Ovis aries: one gene and its partners. The protein of the gene in region 1 interacts with the protein of each later gene in a pairwise test. Links are inferred from orthologs where the notes say so. Each region holds a gene or a part of one and is shown on either strand. Other genes may lie near its edges. The genes, in order: EWSR1, FXR2, MAPK1IP1L, KHDRBS2, PRMT1, MVK and ATPAF2.

What was found.
Region 2: the proteins of EWSR1 (region 1) and FXR2 interact in a two-hybrid assay, tested with the Homo sapiens proteins (2 studies listed by BioGRID and IntAct). The link is inferred for Ovis aries from reciprocal best matches to the Homo sapiens genes EWSR1 and FXR2.
Region 3: the proteins of EWSR1 (region 1) and MAPK1IP1L interact in binary tests that used the Homo sapiens proteins (3 or more experiments, as listed by UniProt). The link is inferred for Ovis aries from reciprocal best matches to the Homo sapiens genes EWSR1 and MAPK1IP1L.
Region 4: the proteins of EWSR1 (region 1) and KHDRBS2 interact in a two-hybrid assay, tested with the Homo sapiens proteins (2 studies listed by BioGRID and IntAct). The two-hybrid records come from large-scale screens. The link is inferred for Ovis aries from reciprocal best matches to the Homo sapiens genes EWSR1 and KHDRBS2.
Region 5: the proteins of EWSR1 (region 1) and PRMT1 interact in a two-hybrid assay, tested with the Homo sapiens proteins (2 studies listed by BioGRID and IntAct). The link is inferred for Ovis aries from reciprocal best matches to the Homo sapiens genes EWSR1 and PRMT1.
Region 6: the proteins of EWSR1 (region 1) and MVK interact in a two-hybrid assay, tested with the Homo sapiens proteins (2 studies listed by BioGRID and IntAct). The two-hybrid records come from large-scale screens. The link is inferred for Ovis aries from reciprocal best matches to the Homo sapiens genes EWSR1 and MVK.
Region 7: the proteins of EWSR1 (region 1) and ATPAF2 interact in binary tests that used the Homo sapiens proteins (3 or more experiments, as listed by UniProt). The two-hybrid records come from large-scale screens. The link is inferred for Ovis aries from reciprocal best matches to the Homo sapiens genes EWSR1 and ATPAF2.

Annotation. Positions count from the first base shown.
Region 1 is NC_056070.1:68,577,602-68,581,101, reverse strand, and holds part of EWSR1 (RNA-binding protein EWS), read right to left. Parts: intron 2,139-3,500; coding exon 1,927-2,138; intron 1,040-1,926; coding exon 859-1,039; intron 1-858. UniProt on the Homo sapiens protein: Binds to ssRNA containing the consensus sequence 5'-AGGUAA-3'. Might normally function as a transcriptional repressor. EWS-fusion-proteins (EFPS) may play a role in the tumorigenic process.
Region 2 is NC_056064.1:27,145,352-27,148,851, forward strand, and holds part of FXR2 (RNA-binding protein FXR2), read right to left. Parts: coding exon 3,410-3,500; intron 3,022-3,409; coding exon 2,950-3,021; intron 2,836-2,949; coding exon 2,687-2,835; intron 2,435-2,686; coding exon 2,341-2,434; intron 1,876-2,340; coding exon 1,759-1,875; intron 461-1,758; coding exon 290-460; intron 26-289; coding exon 1-25. UniProt on the Homo sapiens protein: mRNA-binding protein that acts as a regulator of mRNAs translation and/or stability, and which is required for adult hippocampal neurogenesis. Specifically binds to AU-rich elements (AREs) in the 3'-UTR of target mRNAs.
Region 3 is NC_056060.1:65,599,202-65,603,127, forward strand, and holds the start of MAPK1IP1L (MAPK-interacting and spindle-stabilizing protein-like), read left to right. Parts: upstream 1-1,126; 5' UTR 1,127-1,284; intron 1,285-2,584; 5' UTR 2,585-2,672; intron 2,673-3,926.
Region 4 is NC_056073.1:1,048,985-1,052,935, forward strand, and holds the start of KHDRBS2 (KH domain-containing, RNA-binding, signal transduction-associated protein 2), read right to left. Parts: upstream 2,801-3,951; 5' UTR 2,573-2,800; coding exon 2,485-2,572; intron 1-2,484. UniProt on the Homo sapiens protein: RNA-binding protein that plays a role in the regulation of alternative splicing and influences mRNA splice site selection and exon inclusion. Binds both poly(A) and poly(U) homopolymers. Phosphorylation by PTK6 inhibits its RNA-binding ability.
Region 5 is NC_056067.1:55,810,324-55,814,273, reverse strand, and holds the start of PRMT1 (protein arginine N-methyltransferase 1), read right to left. Parts: upstream 2,801-3,950; 5' UTR 2,755-2,800; coding exon 2,719-2,754; exon of another isoform or gene 1,707-2,718; coding exon of another isoform or gene 1,692-1,706; intron 1,512-1,691; exon of another isoform or gene 1,381-1,511; intron 513-1,380; exon of another isoform or gene 511-512; coding exon 457-510; exon of another isoform or gene 453-456; intron 259-452; exon of another isoform or gene 146-258; coding exon of another isoform or gene 143-145; intron 1-142. UniProt on the Homo sapiens protein: Arginine methyltransferase that methylates (mono and asymmetric dimethylation) the guanidino nitrogens of arginyl residues present in proteins such as ESR1, histone H2, H3 and H4, FMR1, ILF3, HNRNPA1, HNRNPD, NFATC2IP, SUPT5H, TAF15, EWS, HABP4, SERBP1, RBM15, FOXO1, CHTOP, MAP3K5/ASK1, MICU1 and NPRL2.
Region 6 is NC_056070.1:63,768,443-63,772,430, reverse strand, and holds the start of MVK (mevalonate kinase), read left to right. Parts: upstream 1-1,188; 5' UTR 1,189-1,248; intron 1,249-2,495; 5' UTR 2,496-2,509; coding exon 2,510-2,587; intron 2,588-3,860; coding exon 3,861-3,988. Other genes in the region: corrinoid adenosyltransferase MMAB, read right to left, coding at 761-876. UniProt on the Homo sapiens protein: Catalyzes the phosphorylation of mevalonate to mevalonate 5-phosphate, a key step in isoprenoid and cholesterol biosynthesis.
Region 7 is NC_056064.1:34,270,625-34,274,746, reverse strand, and holds the start of ATPAF2 (ATP synthase mitochondrial F1 complex assembly factor 2), read right to left. Parts: upstream 2,801-4,122; 5' UTR 2,629-2,800; coding exon 2,496-2,628; intron 1-2,495. Other genes in the region: GID4 (glucose-induced degradation protein 4 homolog), read left to right, coding at 3,221-3,409. UniProt on the Homo sapiens protein: Plays a role in the assembly of the F1 component of the mitochondrial ATP synthase (ATPase).

The DNA of each region.
Region 1 (3,500 bases):
ATCCAATTTATACTTATACCAACATTCTGCATAACTTTTTTTCACTAGTTTATACAGGGACAGAACACACACAGAACTAAGCCTTCTGGATTATGTTAACCAACATTTCACCTCACCTTCATCAAAGTAGAGACACCAGAAAGGGAAAAGGGTGCGGGAGGAGGGAGGGGAAGGGCGGGGTAGCAGGTTCACGTTACTCTAGACAAAGTTTTCTAAACCAGGTCGTTCCATCCATCAAAATGGTCAAACCGATTTAGACTTCTCAAAATCTCCACTGGGGAGAGTGATTCCACAATTATATACATTACTCTGCACAAAGCTACTAGACTTCTCTGTACACCAGGTGCACCTCAGGCCATAGTTCAAGGGTTATGGGACCAAGATCTTCATCATTATGTTCAACAGTTCCAAGTATAAACAGAAGTTGGGGACAAACATTGTGGAAAACAGCTGCATTCCTTTTCTGCAGTATATACACCACGTATTTCAAGACAATCATTCAGAAGCAATTAGTCAAACACCTAAGGTTGTTAGAAGGGTTGTGTGTGTTCCATCCCAAATCTATTACCCAGGAGGCTTTTGACCTCTGGAAACCAGGAAGGGGACTGAAAGCTCTAGTTTCAAAACCATTCTTTGTTCTCCCCAACCCAACCAAGTCAACTGGCATTGAAAAAAGCAAACTGCCTCTATAGATATGCCACAGAGATGACATTTCCATGTTTGCAAGATGGCTTGGGCTCATCAGACTATCCATGGAAATGCAGAAATAAATTTCCTATGTCTTTCAGTCCCTTCTTTCCACTGAAAATCCTATGGATGAAACAAAATTAGGTAAAAGGAGAAAAGGTTTGCTCTTACCCCATTCCACCGCGTCCTCCTCCCCGCCCACCTCTGCTCATGCCTCCACGATCAAATCCCCCTCTTCCCCTGCCCCGGTTATCAGGGCCACTCATGCTCCGGTTCTCTCCTGGTCCGGAAAATCCTCCAGACTCCTGCCCATAAACACCCATGCTACTGGGGTGGTCCTGTCGGAATGAACCTGAGGAAAGAGTCACATCTGTAAGCCATGGATCAGCATTTACACCACTGCTGTTGTACTTTCTCCTGGAATCATAGAATTCTCAAGTGCAAGGCACTAACCGAGGTATCATCTTCTTTACATCTGATTAAGTCCCCCATCAGTAAGCTTTTCATAAAGTTCAACAAAAAAGGCTGAAGTAATCTCATATAGTTTGCCTAGGAAAAAACCACTCTCAAACAAAAACAGGACTCTGACCAACAGTTCACAGGGTTCTGTATCCCAAGATGCCTTAAAAAACTGGTCTTTAAACCATACTCAAACAAAAATGGAGTCAGGTTTCTTGGGGTTGCTAAGGGGTCGTCTCCATCAAGAAGCACGACTCATTGTCATAATGAGACATACTCATGGGTGCATTTTAAAGACAACAATCCAGGCAGACTAAATTGTGAAGACAACTTTTTGAATTTTTGGTTACTTTTCCACATAAATTAACTGTAAGCATTCCACAAAAATTTTTGTCTTATGAATGTACACAAAAAAATCAAAATACAGTATCTTTTAAACTATCAAAACTTCGAGAGTCTTCAATAGCTACCTGCTCACGCTCTCTTAATGAGCTGGGGTGGGCAGGCCATATGAAAAGCTGGCTTCACTCACTGCATATAACCTCCCCAGAGAGCAGGGCTGGCAGTCTGAAACTTTTTCTCTGGTCAGTTACAAACTCTCTTTTCTCCTAAGGCATGCTAACAACAATTAAACTGGAGAAAAGCCAGGATTATTAGCCAGGATATGATACCCTCAAGATGCATCCTGGAGTTCAAAAGCACACAGTGGTAGAGTGTTTCCCCGTTTCAGAAACTCCAAACACAACCATTCTTATTTGGTTTTCTCTCTTAGCAACTCACTCTGCTGCCCGTAGCTGCTGCTCTGTTGACTATATTGACTTGGAGCCTGGCTGTAGGATCCAGTCTGGGGGGGGTAACTAGTGGGTGGCTGCTGCCCATAGCTGCTTTGCTGGCCATAGCTACTCTGCTGCCCGTAGCTGCTCGGCTGCCCGTAGGTGTTCTGCTGGGAGTAACTGCTCTGATCGTAACTAGTCGGCTGCGTAGAGGAGTAGCTGAGAAAAAACAAAACAAAACAGTTTGTTAGGAGAGACTTGTTATTTTAGGTCCCCTAAATGTAGGAGACGTTCCCAGCATGTGCCATAGAAACTCTTAAAACTCCAGTTACTTTTTACATATTAACACACTGAACTTAAAATGAGCAAGTATTTTTGTATTTAAGTTCTGAATAGGAGAGGGTATTATACCACACACACACACAAAACAAACCCATCTATAAAATGTACAACCTTAATTAAGAGTCTCCCCCTTTACCACCCCCACCTTTACTGAAACAGGGCTTCCCAGGTGGCATGGCAGTGGAGGGTTGGGAGGCTCCACCTGCCAATGCAGGAGACACAGGTTCAATCCCTGGGTCAGGAGGGCCCCCTGCAGAAGAGACGGCAAGCCGCTCTCGCACTCTTGCCTGGGAAATCCTACGGACAGAGGAGCCTGGCAGGGCCATGGTGTCGCAAAGAGTGGGCCATGACTGAGCACACACACGCAAGCACACGTGCTCATCAGAACAATAGTTATTCTCAACCAAACTCAAGGCACGTTTGGGAGCCTAGGTGCTTCCTGTATTAAGGGAAGACTGTGCTCCCAGGGAGGCTGACCCAGGAAACGGCACCGAGAAAAGTGAGGCAGCCCGGTATGGTGCTCAGTCCCCAGGCTGCCTGCCCACATCATGCCCTGGAGTGACGGCTCGTTTTCTGAAGGTACCAGGCCACCTGATGTGTGTCTGGGTGGCCACTTTTTTCCTGAGCCTAAGTTTCAAGTTGCTTTGGTGTGTACATAGCTCCTGACTTCCAGACATGCCTGATCGTCTATGAATCTGGGCATTAATAAGGAAAAGATGGACAAGGAAACATCAGACTCAAGGTACTGTATGAAAAATGAATATCAGACTGATATTCACCTTCACATATGTCAACTAAAGGGAAGGGAAACTAACCAAAGATACTCTTACACAGAAATAAAGCTTGAAATATTAAACTTTAGATGAACCATGACAGTGAAAAACAACACAACGCATAATACAATTTTAATTCTAACTACAATGATTTTAAGTATCTGCACCTCCCTTACCACAGCTGTAAAACGTTATTTGCGCAAACGTGTCCAGCTCTCTGCAACCCCATGGACTGTAGCCCACCAGGCTTCTCTGTCCATGGGATTCTCCAGGCAAGAATACTGAAGTAGGCTGCCATGCCCTTCTTCAGGGGGATCTTCCAGACCCAGAGATCAAACCCGGGTCTCCTGCATTGCAGGCATATTCTTCACTGTTTGAGCCACCAGAGAAGCCCCTGGGAAGCTGTAAGGACTCAAAAGCCTCTCTTCACACCAAGCGCACCTATTCCACTTGCCAGATTCAGTGC
Region 2 (3,500 bases), on another chromosome or scaffold:
GGGCCTGTCGGCATGCTTCAGGAGTCTAAGAGAAGAATGGGGAGTTATTAATAAAACAGAGGACCTGGATCTCAAACAGTGATCTTCCTGCCACTCTCTGTCTTTGGGAAAATGTGCTGCCACCACAGTCTGGGAGGGAGGAAGCAACTATACACCAGTTAAAGGAAAAAAAAGGTATGCACATTATTTAAAAAAAGGGGAGAGAGGTGAACACGACAGGCTTCCTTTCTATTTCACACACTCTTCTGTATCCCCGAAGGGACCTAGACAACAGATATCTTTTGCTGACCTCCCCATAGATGCGGAAAGTGCAGGTCTCTTCACCCAATTCAATGGCAGTCACCCCAGGTACTTTTCGGGCCTGCTGGATGTTGGCACCATGAGTCCCAATTGCTAGTCCCATCAGGTCCTCTCGCACTGTGAACTCCTCTTGGAAAGCTGCCGCCAGCTGCTTGCTTGTCTGAAAGAAAAAAAGACACTGACTTATAGGAATCATGGTGAAATCTCAGACACCTGTCCCGGGAATCTGACACTTTGCATAACTTCAATAAGAAAAGACTGTGAAAGAAAGCCAGAACTATCTGGAAGTCCACTGACCACCAGGACCTGTGTGGAGAATTTAGGAATGCTTCATTCCATTCCTACCTTCTCAGTACCAATGGCTTGGTGGGCAGGGGAGGTAATGATAGCAGGGTTTGGGCTAGGAGCCATCAAAGTTCTGGATTTGGCTCTAACACCATCTGGTTGTATAATCCCAAACAAAACATACTCTCTGTGCCTCTGCTGTTTCCCACTAAACGATTACCCCTGACCTGCCCCATTCCCAGACTAACAGGATTAAATAAGACTGGTGTTTAGAAAGGACTTTTCACATGGTAGATGCAAGTGTAAGGAATATTTACCTTATCCAAACCAATACAAACTCCCAAAATAAAACCCAAAAAGTTGAGGAGAAAGCAAGAGGTTAAGAAAAGCATAAAAAGAGGCTATGACACACCATGTTACCACTTCATTTCTCAACCAGCCCTCAGAGGGAGGCCTGAGTACAAAGGGAGGCAAAGGGAAAGGCTCTGGCAGCACCCTGAGGAGCATCCCTGGAGAAATACAGATTACCATTTGCACAGGCTCCCATAAAGATCAGTTCACTTGATTAAAAGGAAATGGATGTTCAAATAACACATACACGTGTGCACCTCACTTAGGACAGTATAATTCCTAAGAGAATCTGACCATCATAAGATGTCAGGATTCAAAAAGACCTTGTATAAACACTCTCTTTCAACTTCCTCATTGTCACAGATAGGAAGAGAAAACTCACTGGAATCAAATTATTTGCCAAAGGTCAATTATTTGACAAAGCAAGACAGGATTGATTCCAAGACTAGGGATCTTTTCCAGTGTACAAATGGCTCTCACAAAGTGGTTTGGTTCTCAGAGGTAATTTGGGGGCACCCAGTGGAGGTAAGACCCACACCTTCTTCTACTTTTAGACAGACTTGTTCTGATTCATCTGTCTTATGCATTGTGCTTTCAAGTAAAATTTCACTTGGTCACATGGTCCCGTAGCTTTAAAAAAAAAAGCTTCACACAAAAAACATGATGGAGCTCTGCCATCCAGAGATGAAATAGCAGACCCAGGTTTAATGGCCCAGAAAGATCTTAACCTCTGTTCTGTAAACATAAGAGTATGAGTGGAGGATGAGGTGGGAGGGAAGACAACAAGACCATTCAGCAGTAAAAAGTGGAGCCCAAACTTACCTCGAGGTGCTTGGTAGCTTCTTCATTGCGTGACATGAGCAGCAGTTTGGTGCGCAGGCTTCGAAAATGCATATCACCCAGCAGGGATGCTCGCTTCACAGGGGCTTCCGTGGTTGACTGGAAAGAAACCAACAGAAAAGTCACTAAAAACTGCCTATGTTTTAGAGGAGAGTCAGGAACTGGGAAATCAGGACACCTGAGTCTCTGGAAAAGGGCAGGAGTTTAAGAAACAAAGTTGAGGAAGAGAAAATCACTGTTGGTCTCACAAGGGCCTACTATCTGGATGCCTATGGGAACTGATCTTACGTGGCAAGCACAAGTGAGATTCATACTGTTTCTGACAGTCCAAATATGCAAGAAGGGTCCTTGACCCATACTGCAATATGATGGTCAGGTTGAAAAAAAATTAAGGCATACATGAGAAAGACTAAGGAATAGTAGGGCTAACCTGGGTCCACAGGATTCAGGAGGAATAAAGTCCTTTCTGACAAATAAATATAAGCACACTTTAGCTCTTCCCTTCTTGCAAAAGAGTTAAAAGGGGAGAAGGGCTTAGGTGAAGTTCAGGCAAAATAAACTCACCAGGATGAAGAGCTCACTATTTGTGATGTTGAGAAAGATGCAGTTCGCTCCCAATGCTTTCTTAAACTCTTTATGGACGTTTTCATTGGAACAGCTGCAGAGAAAAGAGAACAGTGCTCAGAGGGCAGAGTGTAGAGTATAGCTGAACATTCACGGGAGAGAGAGGGACTGAGAAAAACAAGGACTTCAGTTAAAGAACAGAGATGAGGAAACAGAACTGGGAGCAGAGAAGACTCTAGAGGGTCAAGGGAACACAAAACACACTGGGAGCAGGGCCTGGGACAAACACGTGCAGAGATGAGGACCATAAAGGGGGTCCCCCACACCCAATATCCCAAACACTCACGCCTCTCTCAGATCCTCAGGCACAGCCATGGTAACCTTGAAGAAGCTGCCTTTGGTTGCAAGGGGATTGGGATTAACGGGCCGAAGCCGTTCCAGGGTGACAATCTCATTGTAAGTGGCATCGCAGGCAGCATATTCAATAACATAGAACTGGCAGAAGGAAAGAAAGAAGGTGTGGATAACATGAGCTTCTGTCTCCCACCATCCTCTGACAAAAATGTTTCAGCAGTTCCCCCAAAGACCTTGACAATCAGTCACACTCACATCTCCCTTCATCATCCGCACCCGGGCCAGCCACCAGCCACAAGGCTCTTGCTCATTGGCTCGAGAATAAACCTGAAGAGAAGTTGAAAATAAAAGAGATCTTGAGGCCCATCTAAAAACATCAAGAATAGAATGAGCATTAAGACACTTAAGAGGCATCCTAGACCAAGATAAAGGAAACTAGAGGAAGGAGCTGCTAGTTAACATCAGAGGACACTGGAGTTCAGATGCTGTTATCGTAAATGGAAGCAAAGTGGATCCCCTGAAACTAGGAAGCTCCCTAAAGGCTTGATTCATCACAATGGTGATGGACACTTCACTCCTCCACAGACTGCCTAGCTGGATGGAGGAAGGAGAGTGCAACAAGCAGTAAGGAGCCTATGATACCTGTATCAGGGTAAGGGAGATGCAGAATCCTGGGAAAAGTGATGTTTAGAAAAGGTGGACTTCAGGCCCTTACCTCCACTTCATCCCCTTCTGTGATCTCCTTGTTATAGTCAGCTGGAGGTGGTAGCCGGACATCCCCAAAAGGAATCTGTCTTTCACTCTGC
Region 3 (3,926 bases), on another chromosome or scaffold:
TCTTTTAATCTCAGGGCTGCAGTCACCATCTACAGTGATTTTGGAGCCAAAAAGAAAAAAACGAACGTCTGCCACTGTTTCCCCATCTATTTGCCATGAATTGATGGGACCAGATGCCATGATCTTAGTTTTCTGAACGTTGAGCTTTAGGACAAATTTTTCACTCTCCTCTCTCACTTTCCCCAGGCTTAGGTGTTCGAAGTTTCTCTATCGCTCATTTTTCAGTATGGGAATTACGTGTGCTGTGGAATAAACCCACATAAGTCTTCGTTTAAGAAGCTAATAGTAAAACGTCCACCCTCCAATCCACTAACAGCAAGTGAAAATAAAATCTAATAATACTGCATACGTTTTAATTTTTACACTAAAACATATGTACGTGTTATATATGTATATTTTGCACAACACGTAATTATGACATCTTCATTGTTAGCTAGCACATTCCCTGACCGCTGCGGTCAGACCCCTTTGGGGTCTGTCACAGAGTAGATAGGTAAAGGTTTATTCAAAACTAAACTACGGGGAGAAAAAAATATTGATCAGAAAAAACCTGCAAAGATATCCATTCCTTTTGTTAATATCAATTTGTCAAGCCATTTGCAAACGTCTTCACTTTTCTGCAGTGTTGCTTTACATAGAATATATAAAAGTCACTCAGTCGTGTCCGACCTTTTGCGACCCCATGGACTGTAGCCCACCAGGCTCCTCCCTCCAGGGGATTCTCCAAGCAAGAGTACTGGAGTGGGTTGCCATTTCCTTTAGCTCTCCACAATTTTGGCCAACGGATCTGTGCCCCGGGTTAGAAGGCATTCACATCTAGCCAGCTTCGAGGCCTAACTCTCAAATGCCGCAAGTGTAGGGAATCCAGAACTTGCTTTCAAGCCTCTCCAGGAGACAATTTCCTCCAGGCTGCCAGAGCGCAACTCGCCACTGGCGTTTCCTTTAGACACTCAGAACTCCGGGAAACTAGGGATCTTTCCTCCCGCCCACCGAGAGAAAAACAGCCGAGCAGCCGTGGACTGGCTGGCCGCAGTTCCACCGGGGCCCTGAGGAGGGCGCGCGCGGCCGGGCCCCGCCGACCAGTGGGGAGGCGGAGCCGGGTGGGGGCAGCGCGTCCGAGCACGGCGCTTCCTGTTCCGGCGCCAGGAGGAGCCGCGCGCTGCTGGTGCTGCTGCCGCCCCCGTCTCCGCTGCCGTCGGTCGGGCTACGCTCGGTTCTTCAGCGCCCAGTTCTCGCGGACCCATCGCCACTTCTAGATCTTGCTGCGAGTTCGAATCTTGCCGGGTGAGGCTGCCTCGGCGCTAGGGGGGTCATGGAGGAGAGCGAGGGAGCCCGCCCAAGCGGGACGCGGGGACAGTAACGGAGGTGCCTCAGACGCCTCTTCGCGGGGGCCGGGGGCTAAGAGTCTCTCCCCGTGGTTTTCCTCTCCGCTGTGGGCAATCAGCCCGCTAGGCCCCCAAGGAGAGGGCGTCGGGGGCGGGTGACGTCGTAGCGATGGATTTCTCGGCGGGTGACGTCAGGCCTGGCTCGGGGGGCGGGGCGGGGAGCGGGCCTGGCCCCTCCCCCACCCTTTCCCGGGCGGGCGCGACCCGCTCGGAGGCCGGTTCGCTCCGGTTAATCCCGGACTCCTTTTGTTCGCTGGGCTCTGAAGGGCTACCCGCCTAGCGCCCCTTGGCCCCGACTCCCTCCCCTACTCATTAATTGCTAAGGAAAGGGAGAGGAAGGCTGAAAGATTCTTGTAGGAGTCTTTGGCGCTAGTTTAAGATTATTCGCAATATGAGGTTTTGCTCATCTTTTTTTTTTTTTGTCATCATTTTCTAGAGGAGTTCCTAGCAGATACTCAGATGAATATCCATGACAAACTGAGAAGTGTTGAGTTCTGTAGTGCTCCCTTATTTTAGGATTTAGGAGCGCCTGGTGGCTTTGGACCGTTTTCTTCTGAAAACCAAGAGTAGCGCTTTTAATAAATGGGGATAGTAATGTTGAAGCATGGAAGCATACTCATCTGACAGAAGACGAAAAACATTTTTATAGGGTTGCTACTAAAGAAATACACGCTCGTACGCTTCATGGCTGTGAGTTTGTTTTGAAAACGAACCCTCCATTAAAGACGAAGTTACCCTTCAGAAATCTTTCAGAAGCTCTTTGTTCGGGAATAGTGGTCTTCGGGCAGGAGGAATAGACATTTTTCTCAATACGAGTGTCTCTGAACTTTCTATTCAAAGCTAGTTTGTTTCAGAAACTTGAGTTATGTGTACTGGAATGTCCCTTTTTCTCTCTCCACGAGGAATGGAGACCCAGAGACAGCCCCTTAACTGAAATCCTTGGGACCAGTGTGTTTTGGAATTCAGAAATCCTAAAATTTTATCTTTAGGTTTTAGAAAGACGATAAGGTACAAAGACGAGAGATCACACCAGCGGAGTCGGGGCAGCGTCCCCAATCCAGCATTAATATTTGTGCAGCGATGAAAAGTGAAGTCGCTCAGTCGTGTCCGACTCTTTGCGACCCCATGGACTGTAGCCTGCCAGGCTCCTCTGTCCATGGGATTTTCAGGCTGGAGTGAGTTGCCATTTCCTTCTCCAGGGGATTTTCCCGACCCAGGGATCGAACCCAGGTCTCCCACATTGTAAACAGACGCTTTACCGTCTGAGCCACCAGGGAAGTCCACCAAGTAAGTTTTATGTCAAACGGGAACACTTCTTTCATTTCTAGAAGTTTCTAAATTGAGAACTGCAGGTAAAAATTTACAAACCTATCATAGCAATTTGTAGAAACTGACACCTGTTGAGTTTTTGCTACGTGCCAGACGGTGACCAGGAGATTTATTGTGTAAGTCTCACGGCAAATCTGTGAGGTGGATACTACTGTCAGCTTTCACCTCTGGGGTTGGCACAGCTTGGCTTGTCCAGAGCCCACCAGTGAACTGCAGCATTACCTAGTTTTAAATACTTGTGGTGTGCACGCCTTTATTTTTCTAATGCTTTTTTAGTTGAAGGATAATTGCTTTACAGTATTGTGTTGGATTTTGCCATACATCAGCCTGTACTAGCCATAGGTATATACATATGTCCCCTCCTTCTTGAACTTCCCTCCGACCCCCCTCCCCAGGCTTGTAGCCATATGCAGTAGCCCGTACACCGAGGAAGAGAAGATGATATGTTTATTTATGTTCTCTAGGCACTTTTACTATAGGCACTTGATTTACCAGTCCCATTTAGTCCTGACCCATTTAGCCCTGACCTTAAGGACCCATTATTATAGTTGAAGTAACAGGTTCATTGAGGTGAGCTATCTCTGAGATGGTCAAACTTTGGTCTAGAGACTCTCTGGTTGAAGCTTTCATATTCCTCCCCTTTCTACATTGCAGCCAATCTGATCTGCTTATATGTCCCTGCCCCAGCTTTTGCACAAACTGCTCCTTTCCCTAGGGCCTACCCCAGGTCTTTTTGTTCTCCCACACTGCAAAGACAGGACTCCTCAGGATTCCTCCCTTGATAATCCTTTCCTTGATACCTTTAGGAGCTCTTCAGGGTGCTCCCATAGTGCCCTGCACTTACCGCAGGTAGCCTACTGTTTAAATGGTAGTTCTCCACCAGACTGAACTGCCATTAAGTGTTTATTCCACCTAAGACTATTCATTTCCCCAAGGCCCAATGCAGTACCAAGCACTTAGGTTCCAATAAATATGAGTGTAGAAAATAGGACTAACAGGACCTTGTTGAAAAGTTATTTTTTTAATTACATATTTTTAAGTAATTTAAAATGTTCAAAAACATGCAGATCCCAATTTCTTAAGTTGTCCAAATGTAAAACAGAGTGTTAGCTAATAAATGACAATACTAGAAACTATCACATAAAAATGCTCATTCAAAATTTATATTTTCAGTACAATATATTTCCAGTATTCTTTCCCCATACTAAACAA
Region 4 (3,951 bases), on another chromosome or scaffold:
TTGCATCTACCACCAATCAAAACAGCAAAACAAATCATTATGAATGCTCAGTGGCTTACATCACTGACCTTGTATATATTACCTTCCAAAAAACCATTTCAAAGAACTGAATCATCTGGATCATTTTTATTACACACTCAGTCTTGAGACATTCTGCACAGTGCTGGCTGAAATGTACTTCATGGAACACCTTCTTTCCTAACGAACATCTATGTCAGGTGTATTTATAGCCACTGCCTTCAATCAGTACATTTCCAGGGGTGAAAAATAAAATTATCTCAACAACACTCTCCTATAGAGATTCGAAATAAGACCTAAGAATCTAGGTAGATGGCCTTTGAAAAAACAACGAAAGATCTGTAATGTAAAATGTATGTTAAGGTTTATTCAGAAGGACACTGTTCAATGAGAACATGAAGAGGCTTGGGTACAATTACAGAATTTAGATCTTGTGGATCTTTCAGCCAGCTGCAAAGAGTCTCTTTATATACTCAAGATTATTATCATTACTCCCCTCCTCCTCCTCCTCCTTATGATTCCTCTGAAATGTGGACACCTATCTTTGTTTCTTCCTTAGACATTTTTCTATTTAGGCACTTTTTACTTCTAATTCATTACAAAGGCAGAACATGCTTCCCCCTACTGGGAAAATATTAAATTACAAAGTACATAGGAACATGTTCCTAAGTATCAAGAAACCAAATTTCTGAGAAAAATAAAATGTTAAGAAAATTTTAAGGAACCAGGTTCACAGACTTTTCTGGCTGTTTTACCACAGAGAAATACTTCTATACTCTGTTTAGAGCTCCTCACATGCATTGCTTTAGTCTGGCAGTTTTCAGTACACTAACTCTCATTAATAACTTATGAATTAATCATCTAGCCTACTGTCCCCAAAAGAAGTCCAATTAGCAGGTCTGAGAAAATGATTAATTTGTAACTTTTTCTATTTTAAAGACTTTATCAGCTAAATGAAGACATTTCTGGAAAATGCATTGAAATAGATGATTTAGGAACACAATGACATTTTTAATCATTTTGAATATTTGTTAATCCATTAATTTTCAATGTTCCTATTATTTTATGTAGTTTATTTATTTTTAATAGATTAGATTAGAGGTTAATTTTTTAACTTTCATTTACAATTTTAGGTTGCATTTTTTTATTTAGTAACCAAGAAGTAGCAAGCATGACTGCATTTTCCATTCCAAATCCTCTACAAAATCAACTTGTCCCCTGAAAAGTAGTTTACTTGTTTCACATGTTCAATATTTCAATTGTTGTTTTTAATTACTTAATTACTTAATATACAAAATAGAAAAATATCTGATACTTTATTGTTGCAAATAACAATCCATCAATAAAACATTTAAATAAGTATAATGCCTATTTAATTCATACATGGAGGATTAGAATTTCTCCTTCCATGTAAAACTAAATCTCACAAAAGAAAACATTTCTTTTGATGCTGAAGGGCTAAGGGGAAGAAAGTTATTACTTTTAGTTTTGCTGTAGGTAAGTTCCTAAGAACCTAAGGAACAAAACTGCATTGTAGTCAATTTGATGATGAAGCAACTCATTATTGAGACATTCACCCCCCCACAAAAAAAAAAAACGAAAGTCTTTAGTTTTTATAAAGGTAAATGTAGATTGCTACAGATATTTCTATCATACAGAAGTTCCTGTGTGTGTGTGTTTAAACAACCCTTCAAAAGAACACAAAAGAAAAGATATTTATATTCCCCTGGGAATTAAATCTCTTTCAACATTAAAGTACACACACACACACACACACACACACACACACACTGCACACACACACATACACTGCACACTTGGTACAACAGTTGATCAATTGTGGAGGGTTCCCAGGGACCAGCATCTCCCAGAGCACACAATCATCACACTTCAAATAAACTGATATGCATTTCAGCCACTTCCACATGCACAAACAGAACACGCATAATTTAATCTAGGTTAATACTAAGTCTTTCCATAGGAAAGACTGTAATTAGACTAAGAAAATCAAAATCACTTCTCAATCAGAAGGGAGAGAAAATAAGAGAAAAGAAAGGGGGAAAAGGGAAAGAAAAAGGGAAAGGGGGGGGGGACTGATTTGTAGATAAGAAGAAGCTCATCAAACACCACGTTGATCACCATTCACTCCAGACTGACTTCCCTTCCCTTGGCGGAGTTAAAACATCCCGGTGGACCACGCAGCTCCTTAACGTCGCTCCATCAGTGATCCTAAAGGGCACTGTCTTCACAGCCAGCGCCCGCCGCTCCGGGCTACCCGGATTCAGCCGCGAATGGAGTGAGAAAGTAGCACCCGCCTCCCAAGGACCAGCTCCGCCGCGGCTCTGGGCGAGCATCGTCCAGGGCAGTTTCCGCGAAGGAGACAGGCGTCCTCCCGTACTCCGCTCCCCGAGCCCCGCCGCGGCGACAGGGGCCGGCGGTCTGCGCCCACCCGGGGGCAAGTCCTACCTTCGGCCAGCAGGCGCGAGGCGTGCACGAAGGACGGGTCCAGGCTGTCTCTCTCTGCCATCAGCTCAGGCAAGTACTTCTCTTCCATAGCGCGGACTTCGTACGGGCCCCGCCAGGCTCAGGGCTCCGTGCGCTGGACGCACGTCCCCGCCGTCCTGCTCTCCCGCCGCCCGCCCGCCTCAGCTACGGCCGGTGTCTGGCGCCCTCTCTGGGCCGTCGCCGCCCGCCCGGCCGCGGGCTGAAGTGGTGCCGAGCCTCCGGGCCGGTCGAGCGGCCGTACCTCGGTTCCGCCCAGGTCGGCTTGCTCCGGCGGCCTGGACGGGGAGGCGGGCACAGGACGCGTTCTGCCCCTGCCAAGCGCTCATTGGTGGGTGTGCCTTGAGGGGCGGGGCCCGCAGCGGCTGAGAGTCGCCATTGGGCCGCATCGGACGTCGATGCGCCGAACTGGCGGGAGGCGGAGCCGCCGGGAGGAGAGCAAGGAAGGTGCGCGCGCTTTCTCCTCCCAGCCGGCACCCTCCGGCCGTTAGGCAAGCTCAGCTGTGGCGCCCAGGTGCAAGGAGCCGTCTGTCTTCTGCGGAGGCGCGAGTCTAGAAGAGCGGGAAGGGCACCGTAACCGAGCAGCCGGAGTCCGAGACGGCGGGGAGATGGGGCGAGGAGGCGCGCAGCGAGGACTGGAGAGCGCCGGGAGCGCCTCAGGAGCGCAGAGCTGACTCCACCCGCGTCCTGAGGCTCAGCTGTTCCCTCTCCTACCGGCACACGCACTCGGTGCGTAGAGATCGGCGGCGCTCCCGCTCTGGAAATACAGTGAAGACTGCTTGTGATGGGTGGCTGCGATTTCCAGTGGGCTTGACCTGTATCTAGGGGATGCAGTAGATGCTCATTGATGAACAAATAAAGCGGCTCCGCGGCGGTATCGCCGCACAGCAACGCGCCTCCACTGGACAGTCACAGCGGGACTGACTGGTTTTCTTCCGTCCGTTCCTCCTTCCCCAGTCCCTATCTATAGGGGCCTTCTGGGAGGGGGCTGAATTTTACAACTAAAGCCACGTAATCAGTTTGTGAAGGAATTAGAAAAACATGTGGAAGAAGGAACAGGCTAGGAATCAGGCAACGACAGTTGCTCCGCCCTCCCCGTATCTCCGTCATTTAGGATATGCAGTCTGTTTCTCCAAGTGCAATTGCTGTTCCTCTTCTGATAAAGCAGAGTTAAACCCCCCGGGTATCACCAACACTGCCCATGCTTCTCTTACAAATGCATTTCAAAATGCAGTTTAAGTACTTTGGATATTTTAAAATAAACTTTTCCACCATCTCTTTTCATAAAGTCATTTTCTAATTCGTCTCTCCCCCACCATTTTTGTTCGTGGAAGAAGGAGGGCTCACTTCCCTATAAATAGAGCATGCTGAAACTTTTTTGAATATAAATTTATTTACTTTAATTGGAGGTTAATTACAATATTGTATTGG
Region 5 (3,950 bases), on another chromosome or scaffold:
CCCCATGGAGTATACAGAACCACTCCCCAAACCGTACCATGGCAACCCTACAGCCCCCACCTGCCGTCTTGCCTCGCCCAGGAACCCCCCACCCCCAGAGCACCATCCAGGAGGGCACCCCCGATACCTCAGCCAGGCCTACCATCTCTCCAGTCTGTCTGCCCCCGTCTCTAGCTCAGCCCACAGCTGGGGAAGGGAGGGGAGAGGAAGGCGGAAGCGGGGCAGACACAGGGAAGGACAAAGGTGGGGTGGGGGGCTGTAAATGGAGTTAAGGAAGTAGCCACAGTATTGGGAGAGGCCAGGTGGGGGCCCAAACCTGGACGGAGTCTGGACTAAGTGTTTCGGGGGCCAAGGGTAAAGTGGTTTGAAGCCAGAGGGATCAGTTAGACCACTAAAAAGGGCGTGACGTGTGAGGAAATGTGTATGTGGGAAGGGGTCTCACAAAAGGATATTTACTTCTTCAAGAGGCGGCTGGAGGCTCATCCCATTAGCCAAGGTGGCTACAAAATTCTAGGAGAGAGTAACAGGGAGAAAGGATTAGCTACCAGGAGCGGCTAGGGGAGGGCCAGGCCAGGCGACCCGGGCTCTTGGGCAAGAAGGAGGTGTTTCCTACAATTTTGCTTTTCCTTTGTGAGCAGTGGTGGGAGAAGGAACAAGTAAAGAGGCAAGGCTGTTTTCAACAGGGGTGGGGGAGATGTGGGGGAGCAGGGAGGGGGTTCTATCCCAGCTGTGGCTGGAGAGATGGTGGCCTGCCCCCACACTGCCCCTGTTGGGCCAGGCACCTGAGCACACACGCCTCCCCCATCCAGGCCAGAGGAACTGGCACCCGCCGGGCACAAGGGCACTGCCAGCTGTCACTCCCCCTCACCATCTAATCTCCCCAGATTAGATGACACTTCCTGACACAAAGCCTCATCCTGGGGTACCATTCGAGCTGGGGGAAGGGAACTGGCAGGGTGTACCCACTGGGCATCTGTCACCTCTGCAAAGCACTCTCTCATCTGAGAGGATTCCAGAAAGGAGGTGTGGCACACGGGCACCCCCCACCAGAGCTGGCATGCGGGCTGCTAGCTCCTGCCTGGGACTCAGGGAGTCCCAAACAAAACAAGGGAGTGCCAATCTCCTGATTATGACCCTCTGCGCAGGAGGGCAGAGTTCCACGGAGGAGGCCAGACCCTGGACCCCCAAGCCCATCTACTCCCCGTTCGAACCACCATCTCAGGCCCAGAAACTCCCCAGGGGAGGGGCCGAGTCCTGGATCCACCTCTGAGGAAGATATTTCCTCCAGCCAAGAAGGCCTTCGTCTAGCAGAGAGCCAAGGGGGAGTCACTGGAGTGACCCCTGGGGCTGCCCCCCAAGGTATGCATCTTGGAACCTCACCTCCCATTCCTGAGACTGCTACAAGCTAAGAGGTGAGAGTACGGAGGGCCCAACAGATTACAGCTCTTCCAGATGCAAGCACTCTCCAGGCGCCAAGAAGCGTGAAATCACAGACATAACCCCTGGGCTCCAAGCCCCACCTCCATCCTCCCCAAACCAGTGAATGACGCGGATACGGAAAGACGGCGGGTGAGGGGACTTCCCCTGAGGGCCCATTTCTCTACACCACCGACATCACCGCCAGACATGCCCCCAGAGCGCTTGAGACACAGCATCATGGCAAGCCCCACATAACTGCAAGAGAATCACACCTCACGGGACACCATTTCACGCAAGCAGGTTCAGGACCCTCAAACACGGGTTCAGGGAGGAGGTGGTCAACTCCCATCTTCACAAATACCCCAGGGAGAGGAAGGGCCAGAAGGAGGTAAATCCGCTGCCTCCACTACCTCACAGCCCTTCCCAGGACAGATTCTCTCTCCCCTCGCCCGGGAGGGCTTCGACAGGGAGGGGGGCTTGGAGACACGCCCCATGAAAAAGATGTCCCTCCCACACACCCAGAAATGGCCACAAGGGGGTGCACAGCGCCTAATCGGGAAAGATCTTCCGCTCGATGCCCCCCCATAGACCAGAGGGAGGTCACAGGGGCATGCCCCATCCCCCCAGCTCCCAAAGAGGGGGAGAATCCAGAGACAGGAAACTGGAGGGTAGGAGGGGTCCCAGAGGGAACCAATTCTTCGTCTTCCTCCAATCCCAACGCAAGAGCGCACGAAACCTGGACCGATGCCTAAGCAGATGCCCTGGTCCCAGGAAAGGGTTTGTTAAGGGTCGAGGCACACTGCCCCTCCCAAGAGCCTCATTACTGCACGGAGGTCCCCACCCCGAGGTGCCCGTCACGATCCCCGGGGAGGAGGGTAGGGGGCCTCGGAGGGAGGGTCGGAGCCTCCTCTCCGCCCCCCCCCGGGGCGCCCCTCCCCTGGCCGGGGGCGGGGCCTTTGTCCCGCACGTGGAACCCGCCGGGCAAGCGGGCACGGCACACCCCCTCCCCACCCACCGTGCCACGGCCACGTGGGGGCCAGGCCGGAAGCGCCCCCAGCCCTCCTCCACGTGGGAGGGGGCAGTAGGCCCTCGGCTCGGCGTGGCGCCTCAGGCCCCCGAAAGCTAGGGAACCCGCAGTTCAAACGGTATCCTCGGATACGGAGCACGCGGCGCCCCCCTCCGTACGGCCAGGGGCCTTCAACCCCAATCCGGCGACTCAGAGCCCCTTCCCCACGGCGGAGGCGTAAAACACCGACTTCCAAACCGCCCCCCGCCCCCGGTGGCGCTCCTGGCGCTCACCTCCATGATGCAGTTCGCGGCTTCGGCTGCCGCCATCTTCACCCGCGTCTACTCCTCCTCCGGCCGCCGAGACCCCCCCCCTTTCTCCGCACTCCCCCGGGACCGCCTTATACCGGAGGGTCTACGGCCCGCCCACCGCGACCCCGCCAGGAGATCTCATTGGTAGAGGAGGTGACCCGTCTGGAAATACCATTTAGCCATTGGGCGAAGGAGACACCCATCAAAGCTGAGGTGCCCGCCTACTCTGGCGTGCCGAACCCCGCCCCCTTAAGTCGACGGGGATGGGAAAGACTGCCCGTCTATCGCAAGAAGCGCGACTGACGATTGGGCAGAATCTACTGGGAGTTCCCGCCCCTTCTCCCGTACCGCCTCAAAGCTTCCCGGCGGACCCTGCGCTAAGCGGACATCTTGAAATAGAACTATCACCAAAAGTACCCGCCTCTTAATAGCTGCTATTGGTTTATTAGCAATGTGACGTCATGAGGCTTTCGGCCTGCCTCCGCCAAGCTGCTGGCCTCAAGGAGAACGTGACGATTGGCCCACGAAAAAGGAAAGCAGGCTTTAGGCTCCAGAGATTGGCTCAAACAAACTGTCACTCACCGTTCACTCTGTGGCTTCTCCCAGCTTGTAGGGAATCCAACGGGAAATAAGGGAGCTTGTGCCCATTTTCCTGATGGAAAACTGAAGCAGTGAGAGGCTCAAAGAGGTCTTATCCGTGATCCTGAATCAAGTCAGAAATGGGACTCAGGCGTCGAGGTGTTTAATCTTTAGCCCTCTACTTAATTGTTACAAGTTTTTAAAACCCAGTGACCCCACTCAAGCACTTGGCCTTTGCCAAGTCCTACCCATGCTGGAACACCCACCCCCTTCGTCTGGCCTTCATGAGTCAGTCCCGGCATAACTCAGTCGCCACCTCCTCCAGGTAGCTTCCCTCGACCTGTAGAAAAAGTTACTTGTTGAATGAAGGTAACTGCTACTTGGGGAATGTATCCCATCACCCTAGAAAGTTCCTTCACGACCCTTTCAACACCGCCCTCCCACCCAACCCCAGAAGCAATCACTGTTTCGTTACTATAGTGTATCTTTTCAGCTGCTAAATTTTCCAATAAAAGTATGTGCTCTTTTGTGCCTGTCTTGTTTTTCTCAGCATAATGTTTTCAAGATTCGTTCATGTCTCATATAACGATTGTCCAGCCCTTTTTATTGCTGAGGAGTATTCCATTGTATTGCTG
Region 6 (3,988 bases), about 4.8 Mb from region 1:
AAGAGGCATTTTCAAATAGCAACACCTTTAATACAGACTTCAACATTAAAATGTGACATTAAAAGGTTATTAGAGGTTGAATTACTGGATCTATAAAACATATTGCTGCTGCTGCTAAGTCGCTTCAGTCGTGTCCAATTCTGTGCGACCCCATAAGACGGCAGCCTACCAGGCTCCCCCGTCCCTGGGATTCTCCAGGCAAGAACACTGGAGTGGGTTGCCATTTCCTTCTCCAATGCATGAAAGTGAAAAGTGAAAGGGAAGTCACTCAGTAGTGTCCGACTCTTCCCGACCCCATGGACTGCACCCTTCCAGGCTCCTCCACCCATGGGATTTTCCAGGCAAGAGTACTGGAGTGAGTCAGGTTTGAGGTCCAGGATGGGGTGCTAGTTTCAAGGTATGTGATGAGAGCCATCTTTACAACGCGCTGGTGTCTCTCTGTGTCTTGACTGCTTTGCAGACAGGTTAAGATCCGAACTGAGGACCCCTACTGATTGTGAGGTCAAGCAAGATGACCCTCTTGGTTCACGTGGGCTATGCCCGGTCCTGACGGATGCTGGGTTTCGTTTGGACTTGTCTCGTGCTAAGAAATCTTGGTCTCTGGTTTCCCCGGAGCCCAAGTTGCCATGGTGACGTCAGGATTAAAGAGGAGGTCACCTGGCGATTGCTGCGGTGACCTCCCATCGGTGTGATGTAAACACGGCGACGACAACACAACTCAGGTCAGGTGTCTGAGTTAACTTCTCAGCCAGGTACTCACCTGTCCCCGTCTTCCACGCCCTGGGGGCCACGGCTCTGGAAACGGGGACACAATAGCTTGCGGGCTCCAAGGCACTCGCGCAAGCCAAGGCGACCTCCCAGGCCCCACACAGCCATGCCCCAGGCCGCTCGTCGAGGGCTGACCCCGCCAGCTTGCCGTCCAGGTTTCGAGGCGACTCCACCTACCGCCGGCCGCGCCACCGCTCAGCCTCATCTTCTATTGGTCCGTGGCTCTCTCCCCAGGGCGGGACACTCCCAGGGACTTGCTTCCCATTGGTCCAGGGAAGGATTTGGGCGGGGAAATCCGTGAGGACTTGGTGAACGGCAGCTATTGGCCAATGCTCAAGCCAATTGGTAAAGGGAACTCTCGGCTCGTACGCTCTGATTGGCTTGGCGGAAGGAAGAAGCCGCCTCACCTCGGGTACCCGCGAGCTCTGGTATGGAGTCTTGGAGCGGCCCAGCTTCGGGAGCAAGCACCTGAGGCGACAGGTGAGAGGTTGGGGTTGCGAGGCGAGGTGGCGCGAAGGCCGAGGCCGAGACCCAGAACGACCCCGGACTGGGCTCCCGGCCTCTCAGGCTGTTTCCTCAGCTCTGAAAATCCGTCCTCAGGAGCCGGCGACCTGGAAACTGACAGGATTTTGAATCGCGGACAAGCAGTAGGTCTCCTCACTTGGAGTCTGAGTTTCCCTCCCTGAGGAACTGGGGTCATGGTAGCACTTAGCTCATAGTTCGGTTCAGCTCTCACGCTACTGAAGTAAAGCCTTAAATAGATAGTTTTTTTCTTTTCTGTTTTTTAAGTCGCTCAGTCGTGTCCGACCCTTTGCGACCCCATGGACTGTAGCCTGCCAGGCTCCTCTATCCATGGGATTCTCCAGGGAAGAACACTGGAGTGGGTAGCCAGTCCCTTCTCTGGGGGATCTTCCTGACCCAGGGATCGAACCCGGGTCTCTTGCATTCAGGCGGATTCCTTACCGTCTGAGCCATCAGGGTAGCTTTGCATTATTCATAAAAATCTAAAATGTGCACACGCACACCCAGCAAGTCACTTTCTAGGACTCTGTCTTGCAGAGATCCTGACTTAAGTGTGCAAAAAAAAAAAGGGGGGTGGGGAGGTGTAACAGCTGTTTATCTGCAACTTGTTTCTAATTGTGAAACGTTAGAAACAGCCTGAAAATGCCCAGGAAAAAAATTTCTTTCCAGTCCATAATTTCATTTAAATTTCTACCTTTAATAGTAGTACTAATAAAAGCTGGAACCAAAAACAGAGTCAGTAATACCGAGCTATCAGTAACTGACTGTGGTGTGCCAGACACTGCTAAGTGTTTTGCTTGCGTTATTTAGTTTAACTTTCTCAGAAACCATTAAAGTAAATAGTTACTGTCCCTGTGTAACTTTTAAGGTTCGTGGCTATTTGATGGCTGTGTGGCTAGCTAAGATGACATCACTGGGGAGCAGTGGGTTCGAACCCAGATTTTTTGGAGAATTATTATTATTATTGCTTGGAGAATCCCAGGGACGGGGGAGCCTGGTGGCCTGCCGTCTATGGGGTCGCACAGAGTCGGACACGACTGAAGCGACTTAGCAGCAGCAGCAGGCTGACTGCTGCCCCGCACTGCTTTTGGGGCACACAGCAAGTGCTGAATGGTAGCTGCCTTTTTTGTAATAATGGGGTGCTTTAATTAGGGGTTCTCTGAGGTCTGGGGACCTTCCATCCTCTCTCTCTCTTTCCTTTTCAGGACTCCCAGGAGCCATGTTGTCAGAAGTCCTGCTGGTATCTGCTCCAGGGAAAGTCATTCTGCATGGAGAGCATGCTGTGGTCCACGGCAAGGTACAAGGCCCCCTGAACCTTTGAGGGTTGGGAACTGCTGCTCCTGGACACTAATCTTTTCTCTTTCTTAAATTTAGTTTTGGCTGCTCTGGGTCTTCGTTGCTGCGTGAGGGCTTTCTCTAGTTGAGGCAAGTGCAGGCTTCTCCTTGCTGTGGCTTCTCTTGTTGTGGAGCACAGGCTGTAGGCAAGTTGGCTTCAGTAGTTGTGGTTCGTGGGCTTAATAGCTGCAGCTGTCAGGGTCCTGGAGCACAGGCTTTGTTGCTCCACAGCATGTGAGATCTTCCTGGAACAGAGATCAAACCTGTGTCTCCTGCATTGGCAGACAGATTCTTAACCGCTGGACCACCAGGGAAGTCCCCTGATGCTAATATATTAAAAAAATTTTTTTTTAATTTATTTGACTGTGCTGGGTCGCAGTTGCGGCATGTGGGATCTAGTTTCCTGACCAGGAACCAAACCCAGACCCCCCTGCATTGGGAGCGTGGAGTCTTAGCCACTGGACCAGCAGGGAAGTCCGCTGATGCAGTCTTAGAAGAAGCTGAAAGAAAGGCTTGAGGCATAGCCTGGGAGATCAGAGAGGAGGTCAGTTTCTTCCCAGCTGGGCAAAGAAAAGGCAGGTGTTAGGCTCGCTGAAGGACTTCTCTGGCCCACCCAGTAAGATAGCAAGAAAATGACACAGAAAGCCATGTGGGCGTAATGAAGTCACTTAGGAAGTAAGCTTCAGTGGAGAAGAGATGAAGTTTAAGGGCTAAACTCTTGGGGAAAATGAATAGGATCCTGCAAAGGAGTCTGAGACATGCATATTTCGTTTAACTCTTAAAACTGTCCTCATAGTTAAACTTTTATTATCCTATTTTACAGTTGTGGAAGCTGAGGCTTAGGAGGGCGTTGGCAACTTGTTCAAGGTCCCGCACACCTCGGTAGAGCTAGGAGTGACCCTGTCTGCTTGAACCTAAAGCCATGCTTTTTCTGCTCCTCCCTGCTGTCATTTTTCACATTCTTATATTAATCTTTGAAAACACGGTGATTAGGGAAGCCATCCCTTGGTGTTGAGAAATTCTGAGTTTTACGTGGGAAGGGAAAAGATATGTAGGTATTAACTCCTAATTGATTGGTAGCGGTTGTGCCTGTGAAGAAGGTGCCAAAGTTGATGAGAATCGTCTGCCAAGGGCACAGTTCAGAGTGGCCCATGTGCTAGTACCTAAGTCAGAAGCCATGCATGTTGCCAACGCCCCCCAGGCTAACTGCTGGTATCGTGCCCTTTGTTCTCTAGGTAGCACTAGCAGTGGCCTTGAACTTGAGAACATTCCTCCGGCTTCAGCCCCACAGCAATGGGAAAGTGGGCCTCAACTTACCAAACATTGGCATCAGGAGGGCCTGGGATGTGGCCAGCCTTCAGCT
Region 7 (4,122 bases), on another chromosome or scaffold:
TACCGTTTGATCCAGCAAGTCTGCTCTTGCGTGTGTGCTAAATTGCTTTAGTTGTGTCCAACTCTTTGTGACCCTATGGACTGCAGTCCACCAGGCTTTTCTGTCCATGGAATTCTCTAGCCAAGAATACTGGAGTGGGTTGCCATTCCCTTCTCCAAGGGCTCTTCCTGACCCACGAATCAAAGCCGGGTCTCCTGCCTTGCAGGTGTATTCTTTAACCCTGAGCCACTGGGGACGTCCTATTTATTTTTAGGTACCTCCTATGAGAAACGAAAACACATTCTCACACAAAAACCTGTATTCAAGTGTTTACAAAGGCATTCAGAACAGTCAAATGATGAAAACCACCCAAATGTTCATCAATGACTGACTGGGTAAATAAGACATGGTGTGTCCCCAAAACTGAATATTACCAGTTATGAAAAAGAATGAAGTACTGACATGCGCTAACTCTAGGACAAACCTTGTGAAAGTGAAAGTGAAGGTGCTCAGTCGTGTCCGACTCTTTGCAACCCCGTAGACTGTAGCCTACCAGGCTCCTCCGTCCATGGGATTTTCCAGGCAAGAGTACTGGAGTGGGTTGCCATTTCCTTCTCCAGAGGATCTTCCGGACCCAGAGATCGAACCAGGGTCTCCTGCATTGTAGGCAGATGCTTTACCGTCTGAGCCACCAGGGAAGCCAGGACGAACCTTGGATATACGCTAAATGGAGAAAAAGACCACATTCCATTTATATGAAATGTCCAAAATAGGGAAATCTATAGATACAGATCTCTGGTGGCTCACAGGTTAAAGCATCTGCCTGCAATGCGGGAGACCCCGGTTCAATCCCTGGGTCAGGAAGACCCCCTGGAGAAGGAAATGGCAACCCACTCCAGTACTCTTGCCTGGAGAATCCCATGGAGGGAGGAGCCTGGTAGGCGACCGTCCACAGGGTCGCAAAGAGTCGGACACGGCTGAGCGACTTGACTTCATAGAGAGTGAAGTAGTGGTTGTCTAGGGCTGGAGGGATGGGGTGGGGCAGGGGGATACTCAGAGTGGCAGCTAATGGGTACAGGGATCCTTTGGTGTCATAAGAAGGTTCCAGAACTGATGGCAGCAGAACTCTGAGTATACTGTGCTTAGTCGCTCAGTATGTCCGACTCTGCAACCCCATGGACTGTAACCCGCCAGGCTCCTCTGTCCACAGGGATTCTCCAGGCAAGAATACTGGAGTGGGTAGCCATGCCCTTCCTCCAGGGGATCTTCCCAACCCAGGGATTGAACCCAGGTCTCCCGCAACAAGGGTGGATTCTTTACCATCTGAGCCATTAGGGACCATTAAACTGTACAATCTAAGTGAGTGAATTCTAAATGCATCATCTCAGTAAGGCTGTTTTAAAATTCTTCAGGGCAAGTGTATCTACCACAGCAATTACTATAAACGGGCCAGATGACTAAACACTTTTCCCCAAAACCGCTCTAGCATCCACAGCACTGCTGGCAAACTTTTTCTGTAAAAAGCCAAAGTGTTTTAAGCTTTGCAGGCCATCCAGTGTCTGGCACAACCAGCCAACTCTGCACTGTAGTGAAAACAGCCTTAGGTGTGTGTCAGTGAATGAGCGGGCCTGGGTTCCTGGAAAACTATTTACAAAAACAGGTGGCAGGCTGGCCTCCCTATCTACAGCATCTCCCTCAATCCAGCACAAGCTGTCTCTTTAGAGGAGGCAGACAATGAGACGCTAAACCACTTGTGCAGACAAGACAACTTGTAAGCAGAGACCCCCAGCTTTGACTTCACCGGTGTACTCCTCAGCTGGACAGGCAGGCTCTCTGAAGACCTTTCTTCTCTATGCAGCTGATGGCTGGGACAGCTGGTAGGGGACTGGAGGCCACACGGGCGACCTCGGAACAGCTCCAACACCGCAGTGACCTTCTCCTCACCCCCACCTTCAGCACAGTACTAACTGGCAGGAAAGAAAGCGTTACTGTCTTCACTCACTTAAAGTCAGTCCCACTCTTATCCCAAAATCTTTGCCTAGGAGTAAGAAAGATCCGCTACAGAAAGCCTCATCCGAGTCGGAAGTGCAGGAAGGGGGCACGGGGTGTCAACTCCTTAGAAGAGGTGGCAGGTGTTCTGGGAGGGCAGCAGGAGGCAGGGCCAGGACAGCTGTGGAGCAAGCGGCCGGGATGGAAGACTTAAAGCCCGAGCTTCAGGCCCCTTCAGTGCCGGTCGCGGGGACACAGAAAGCAGCCTAGCAGACTGGCCTTTGCCCCGCAAACCTCTGAGTCTGCTTCGCGCCTCTAGCGCAATCCCGACCCAGAAGTCGAATTTCCCCGCCTGAAAATAAGGATGACCTCTGCTTCCCCAGTGAAAGAGAGAAAAACCGCACCTGCCAAAAGGAAACGACGCGCGTGTGCCCTGGAGCGATCCCTGCCCTCGCGGGGAACTTCCCTCCCACCGTGTGACCCTGCATGGCCGACCCCTCAGCCTGCTCCGCCCTGGCCTCTCTCACCTGCCGGGGGCACGTAGGCCCGGAAGGGGATAGGGGGCTTTCGCCCCAGCCCCTCGGAGGCGGTGAGGCCACTTCGGGGCCGGTTCAGGAGGCGACGCCCCCCATCCCGCAGCCGAAGGCAGCTCCTCCACATCGCGCGGGGGCCTCAGAGAACGACCGCTCGAAACCAGAGCTCGGGGAAAAGGAGCGGAGGGACCACACGCCGTGTGCTCGAACTCCACAAACCTCCTCACCAGTCGCCGGCACCCTCTCCCTTTTGGGGCGCCGCCATGTTGCGCACGACACTCGTAGCGCGCCGCCGCCGCGCGCCTCAGCGCACGCCGCAGCCAATCAGCATCACAAACGCCCCGGCCCCGCCCCCGCGCCGCGCCTCGGGAAAAAGACTACAAGTACCAGAGGGCCTCGGCTCCCGCCACGTGCTTTCCCCGCCCGCCAATGGGCGGAATCGCCGAGCCAGCCTGATCCCGCCCCTCAGCGCGCCCGAGCCAATCGGAAGGGGTGTGTGTGCGAGCGCAGGCGGGGAGGGGGTTCGCTCAGGACCCGGAGGCCCTGCTCGCAGGTCCCGGGGTCCCGGTGGTGGCCGGAGCGCTCGATCTGCTTGCGGCCGGCGGGTGGACCCCTCCCGCCCTACGCGCGCGCCGGCTTCTCCTCCGTCTGCCCTCGGCTTCCGCGCGGCGGCGGCGGTTCCTCCCCCTCCCCCAGCCCTGGCTCCGGGGGACCCCGCGATGCCGGTCCGCACCGAGTGTCCCCCGCCGGCCGGTGCCTCGGCCGCCTCCGCCGCCTCGCTCATCCCGCCGCCGCCTATCAACACGCAGCAGCCCGGCGTGGCCACCAGCCTGCTCTACAGCGGCTCCAAGTTCCGCGGCCACCAGAAGAGCAAGGGGAACTCGTACGACGTGGAGGTAGTGCTGCAGGTGAGCCGGCGGCCCGGCCTCTCGAGACGTCCACGGACCGGGCCACGCCGCCGCCCCCTGGGGCCCGCGGCCACGGACGGGCCTGCTGCCCGGGCCTGCCGGGGGCCCTCCGGCGCACCCCAACCCTGCGGGCCCGAGCCGGGGACCGGCCGCCTCAGATCCGGCCCTGCCTCCCCGTGGCCTGTCGCCCCGGCAACAGTCTTTCTTTCAGTCCCTCTCGGACCCCGTCCGGGAAACTCTCCAGGGATTCCCTCTGACTCTGGACGCTCCCAGGCCCTAGACGTGCCTGCTGCCTCCCACGTTTTCCTCGGTCCCATGAACCCCAGGCCCTGGGACCCGCCTCCTTCTCCGGGGGTTTCCTCCCCGGCAGAGCTTCATCCGCCTCCTCTCTCCATCAGCCCCGGGACCTGAGGGCCCCCATCCCACCTGGACTGCTGGCCCATTCCTTAGCCTGGGCACTCACATCCTAAGTGGGCTCCTCACAGTCTGTTAGAAGCTGATCTCCTAGCCCCCAACCCATAGTCTCTTCCTGGCTCAGACTCTTGACACTCCCTACTCCCCACCCTCTTTCCACTTCCAGTCCACTCCTGTTCTGTCCATCTGTCTGCCCAGACCTCCCCATCTCTCTGTTCTCCTCCTTCCTGGCTCTAGGGGACCCTCTTACTGTATTTTTAACTTTGATCCACATGTCAGGGCTTCCTTTGTAGTCTCTG